Linked DNA regions of Mus musculus: region 2 is reported to be linked to region 1. Evidence: microRNA targets listed by miRTarBase, many of them from high-throughput screens and not tested one by one. Region 1 holds a microRNA gene; the other region holds the end of a gene's coding sequence.

What was found. The annotated mature microRNA mmu-miR-107-3p reads AGCAGCAUUGUACAGGGCUAUCA and lies in region 1 at 1,931-1,953, shown strand. An mRNA with a match to its seed (bases 2 to 7 or 8) in the 3' UTR can be bound and repressed. Matches are read on the target gene's strand: a 7mer-m8 pairs with bases 2 to 8, a 7mer-A1 pairs with bases 2 to 7 and ends in A, and an 8mer does both.
Region 2: miRTarBase lists Cdk6 as a target of mmu-miR-107-3p. Seed matches in the 3' UTR shown: 7mer-m8 at 2,305-2,311.

The regions. Positions count from the first base shown.
Region 1 is chr19:34,819,527-34,822,652 of GRCm38, reverse strand. Mir107 (microRNA 107) reads left to right here and starts at 1,880; the gene lies at 1,880-1,966. It overlaps Pank1 (pantothenate kinase 1), which reads left to right. Exons shown (of 7, transcript NM_001114339.2): 4 at 764-940; 5 at 1,430-1,553.
Region 2 is chr5:3,520,335-3,523,410 of GRCm38, reverse strand. It overlaps Cdk6 (cyclin-dependent kinase 6), which reads right to left. Exons shown (of 8, transcript NM_009873.3): 8 at 1-2,766. The coding sequence ends at 2,620. Among named protein-coding and RNA genes, the nearest start is that of Fam133b, 22 kb to the left of the region's middle.

The DNA.
Region 1 (3,126 bases):
GAAAGCTTTTAGAACATTCGTCAAGCCTTGAAACCATTTTGTGACTTTTTTTTTCTTTTACTGTTGGGTGGTAATTAGAAATAAGCAATACCCTTTCCCAAAGACTAGTAGAAAACATTATTTTATTAGGGAGGCAGTAGTTTTCTCTCAAAATTCCCAAGGTAGATTGAGATGAATACTCTAGAGAAGTAGGGTGTCTGGAAAGGCCACCTGGGTTTGAGGCTGGGGCAGAGCCATGAGTCGACTTTGTCATCCCGGGGCCTTGGCTCTGTAGTCAGGAAGTATGAGCACGCCATAGCTTCCCCTGTGAATTTTCATTCAGTCGAATGTGATGTTCGACATCATCCATTTCACTGGTAACGTGCTGCTATCAGACTACCCAAACAGAAGAAACCATGATTTGACCACTTTCAAAGGTGAGCAAAATGAACTTAGGCTGGCAGACAACACTTAGGCTAGTAGCTGGCTGAAGGTCTCACAACAGAAATCAGTGAGAGTCTTTTTCAATTTTATTCTCAAATTTAGGGGCATGTTTTCCTTGACGATTAATCATACCTGCTGCCCTCTTTTCTGATCCAGTCCACCCTTAAGTTCGGTTATAACGCTGGCCCCTGACTCAGGTGCCCCGCTGCTCTTCACCAAAGCGCCCCTTTGTCTTTCTGCATTTTTATGAAGCCATATTAATAGTCTTGGTGTAGCTGGGGACTTGGATGGGCATATCACAAAGCGACAATTTTAAAAATCAACCTTATTGTTCCTTCAGTCTTGGAGGTGGGACATTCCTAGGCCTATGTTGCTTGCTGACTGGTTGTGAGACCTTTGAAGAAGCTCTGGACATGGCAGCTAAAGGCGACAGCACCAATGTGGATAAGCTGGTGAAGGACATTTACGGAGGAGACTATGAGCGATTTGGCCTTCAAGGATCTGCTGTAGCATCAAGGTAGAGACTAAGTGGCTAGGAGCTGTAGAGAATCCACACAAAGCAGGTTCTCTGCCCTGACCATTCATCTAGCTTTTTCAAATACATGTCAGCCTACCAGCCTGGTGCAAATATCTATCACGTCAGACCTCAGACTTGATTCCTGTCCTTAGTGAGGCGCTGAAACCTTTACCACTTGATACTTGTGCTTAAGATAAGGCAACTTTGAAAGAAGGTTCTGGAAAAGTGCCATGGTTTCTCCCATTCCATTCTAGTCTAGAAGCATTACAAGTTTCTCTCCCGTTAATAGTCATACTACTCTGTCCCTTGCTAAGAAGGAGGCAGCCAGCTATTCATAGTGTAATACTGTCTGCTTATGAGCCGTGATAGTGGAGTCCGCTCATTTGAGTCTCAGGAGGATTTTTCATAGTGCTTCCCAGAGTTCCTTGGTGGAAGCTTGGGTCCTGCCTGGGGATGACTTTGACACTCTCAATGATATTCCCAACATAGCTTTGGCAACATGATGAGCAAAGAAAAGAGAGAGTCCATCAGCAAAGAAGACCTCGCCCGGGCCACATTGGTCACCATCACCAACAACATTGGCTCCATTGCTCGGATGTGTGCACTGAATGAGGTAAGGCTTAAACCCTGAGACGGCCAGGGGCCACCCCCCTGCATCATCTTTGGCAATATAAGAACTGTTGTCATTCTCAGAAAACTTGCCCTTTATTAGGTGGTTACACCTTCTCGAACATGAGAAGGGTACAGCGAGTGAGGAGGGAGATATTAGGATTTACTTTTAAATGAATACCCGCATGGAAGCAGGCTAAAATTCCAGTCTACCTTCCATTCTTTCTAACTGCCATTACTGCCGTAGACCACGGAGATGTGAGGCAAGCCCTGGGTGTATGCACAGATAACCGAACAAGAAAATGCTTCCACCCGCAATACTCGATATTTTTCTCTGTGCTTTCAGCTTCTTTACAGTGTTGCCTTGTGGCATGGAGTTCAAGCAGCATTGTACAGGGCTATCAAAGCACAGAGAGCTCGCGACAGCCAAGGCCAGCCAGAGCCCCCAGGCGTAAGGAGAGTGTAGCACTGAGGACAGGCATAGCTTTATTAACAAGTTTTGAAAGATTGCTAAGTTCTTTTGGGAAAGGGAAAAGTGCAACCCCTTTCTAAGGAACAAGGGTTGAGAAGTAGAACCGTCCTCTCCTTGAGACATGTTAGGAAGACAAGCAAAAGAGCTTGGCGAGTGAAACAGGTAATAGGAGACACGTATACGAAGCACAGTAGGTCAATATGCAGTTTGTAATAGAAATATGACATGCATGCAAAAGATAGTTCAAATCATAAGTATCGTAAATATTACACACACACGCACACGCACACACACACACACACACACACGAGTCACTACCTAGATCAAAAAATGAGATTTTAAAGGTACTTCAAAGCCTTTTTGAGAGCTAGAGAGACAGGTCGGTAGTTAAGAGCTTGTGCTTCTCCTGCAGAGGAGTTGAGCTTGGCTTCCCAGCATCCGTGTCTGGTTGCTCACGGCTGCCCTTAACTGCAGCTCCAGGGGATCTGGGGAGTCGCTTCCAAGCAGCGTTAGGGTACAAAGCACTTCTGTTTGTTTGTGTATCTGTTTTCATGCTCGGTCTGGATTTGAGCTTTGTGGTTACAAAAAAACACCCCTCCCACACACAACCCTGAGTAGAGTATGTTCCTGTCACCTGGAGAGCAGTCAGCACTTACTGGCAGTCCCTAGTCCACCTGGGTTTAGGAAGCTGGTGATCAGGCTCCCAAGACATGTCTTCTCAAAGTCCGCTTTGGTCATGAGATGCACTGGAAATCCGGGTTTATTTTTCTAGCATTAACCTTTGCATAGTGTTTTTCCAAGTAGCCAAACAAGCTGTAAGACTAACATGTGGGTAGGCTGGCTGTGTTCATGGCTCTCAAAGGTCAGTTGCAGAGTGACAAATCTTTGCCCCACTGAGCAACTGTGACCTTTCCCCTGCTTTCCAGAGTCACCTCCTGCCTCACAGTTGGCTGGAGTGAGCCAGGTCTATTAAACACAGGTACCATAGTCCCTTTGGGTGAGGCAACAGAAGCATTGGTGAAGGTTTATTTCCAAGAGCATGGGCTCTTAACCAGTGGCCACAGCAATACAGACAATGTTGGTCCGTTCTCCATCAGCCATTGAC
Region 2 (3,076 bases), not on the chromosome of region 1:
AAAACTACTTAGAAATAAGCTCAAGACAGCTGACAAAAGTGAAGTTAAACTCTATACTTAAGACTCTAAAGAATACGGGAAGATTCCAGTTTAGGATAGCTGTATTTTTCTTGAGCAAAGCTAAGGAAAACAATCCTTTCTTTTTTCTTTTTCTTCCTTTCTTTTTTTTTCTTTCTTTCTTTTTTTTTTTTGGCGAAAGCAAAACCCTCAAAATTATTTTCACTTTATCACATGGATGTTAATATAGAATGGATTAGGCCTCAATGCAGTGAGTTTTATGGTCGATTTCTAGGCCCTAGCAAAAATGTCTGTATTTTGGACCTTGTTCAATGACAAGGCAGAACTCGCTGTCCAAGTGAGACCTCGAGTAGACCTTGTCCCAGAGGTTCCAGGCTGACTGTCTCGAGCGTTGGCAGTGTCGGCAGCAGAGCTGTGAGGACGAGCGCAGAACATTCTCAGCCTAGCCTCTGGCTTCTTAAAGTTTTGTTTTTGAAAAAAGAAAAAATCCTTTCTTGCGATACTGAATCAGAAGAATGTAATGTAATGTTAAAAATAAAAATAAACAGAAGAAGATGATTCCCAACCTCCAAAGCTCTCAGGAAAGACATCTAATTCTTCTCCATACAGATAACCATATGCAAAGCCGGGCGTGGTGGCGCACGCCTTTGATCCCAGCACTTGGGAGGCAGAGGCAGGCGCATTTCTGAATTCGAGGCCAGCCTGGTCTACAGAGTGAGTTCCAGGACAGCCAGGGCTACACAGAGAAACCAAAAAACAAACAAACAAATAACCACATGCATTGTTCAGCTACGAGAAACACAGTAAGGTCCATAACATACAAACACCATCTGGAGCCTACACTGCCGTGTGAAACATCAGGCAGTCTTTCAAAGCTCTACAGTGAAGCATCATCTAGCGTTTACTTAAATGTGCTCAAACACGATTCAAACAAAACTCAGCTACGCTTCCCGAAAGCTGCCTTCTACACCTTCTATGGAGTAGTGCCAGCTTAGCACTAAGCCACGGATATAATAAGGCAAAGGTGGCACAGAATGTAAAGGACTGAAAGAAAACAGTAAGGTACAGTTGTTTATAATGCCCAGGGTAGGCTGGCTCTGCAGAAAGCAGGGCTGACATGAGGCCTCAGACAAAAAAAAAAAAAAAAAAAAAAAAAGAACAAAAACCCAGAAACACATCCTGCGGACAGACAGAGAGATCACTTTAGAGAGTAAGTAGTTATCTCTAGAAGAGAGGAAAAGACATTTCCTCAGACATTACACTGACAACATACACTTAAAGATAGGAAACACCAAGTGACAGTCGGTAGTAGTCTATACACACACAGAACAAGCACTCTTCACTGCCTAGGTGACCTCAGCTGCGGCAGGGGGAAGACTGTATTACAAAGGCACAAGGGGATACTGTTAGGGTTTCGGAATGGGAGCCTACGCCCAAAGCATTCGGTGAAAGACGGTAAGCGTGCAAGCGGGTGTGGGATTGGGGCAGCTGGGCCATCTGTCGTTAGCCAGGCAGTGGCAGGAAAATGAATTAGAAGTGCTGGTGGTTGAGAGCTTCGCACTACACAAGGCAGCACAAGGCAGATGCGCCATGGTGGGTGGTGGAGACAGCTAGATGGTATTCCCGCCTCTAGTCAGAGCAGGAAGTGATTCCCTAAGGTGACAAGGTATCAAGGTATCAAGAGACGTGAAGAAAATGATAACATCTCACACCAGAAAACAGGTGCTCTCTATCTTTAAAACCTATCTGAGGTACACTCACTCCTTAAATGTATTGCAAGTAATAAGATACTTATAGCATCTTTCCCCAAAGAAACAATTAAGTACATACTGTACTATATATAGGGCCTGGGACACATTAAGTTCAGCTTTCCAAAGAGTAAATAGAAGATGTATGCCTTAAAAAGTCTCTTAAAAAATATTGTGGTTCCCCCCATTTTTTGTGGCATCTAAACCTTTATTGTTTACTGCTAGCAAAAGCTTTTGGACAGGAAGGCAACTCTGAGGACTTAGGTCCAACCTTCCTAACAAGACTCCATTGTGAATCACCTTTCACTGAACAAGCCCTTCTTACTATCAGTCACCTCTACTCTTTAAAACTCAATTATTCTTGTTTTCTACAAAAAAAAAGTAACACTTGACGAGATCAGGGGTCTTTCTCTCCCCTCCTCTTCTCTCTTACACACACATACGCATGCACACACACTCACAAGTACCAAAGCAGGCCCAGCAGCTGCAGGCGGATTACATCATAACTCAGCTGGGCCTGGATTCCCACCCTACACTGGCAGCATTCAAGGTTAGAAAACGAAATGGCAGCACAATTGGTCAGCAGCTTCTCTTCTTCTGGAAGTTTTCCAGGTTCTTGAAACAAACAGACAAAACAAACAAGTGTACAAACGAACATAAAGCTGCAATCACCCTTGCATTGATCTCTGAACAGTAAACTAGGTGGTTTCCTTGGTAAGGCAGAGCCCACCCAGAAGCTGGCAGCCAGAAGGTTGGCAGCCAGCAATCTTCAACTGCTCTGAGAGGCTTGCTTAGGGGACTCGCAGCCGCCAATGTGTTCAGATGACGAGCTCATGGGCATCCCCGTGGAACCTCAGGCTGTGTTCAGCTCCGAGGTGCTCTGGTTGGATGGCAGGTGAGAGTTCAGGTTGTCCTTGTATCTCTCCAGATCTTGGAAGTACGGGTGATTCAGGGCGCCGTAGGCGGATATCCTTTTAGCTGGATTAAACGTCAGGCATTTCTGCAATACAGAGAACATCTGGTGTGAAACATAGCACGGCCAACCCTGGACCTTGGGGGAAGTCTTGGAAAAGGTGGCTAAAATTTTTCCACAGTTCTATTTGGGGAGAAAAGTCACCAGCACGACATGAACTAAAGTAAAACACCCCGACACAAGAAGTGCTGCTTCCGTAAAAACAATTAATGTGATTACCAGACACCTGACTTAAAATTACCTTCTAGTATCACAACTTACTCAAGGGTTGAACATTCTCACCTTTCTTCAAGCTGCCCTGACCACATAACTGACCTAGGCCTTTGGTCATGGTTCT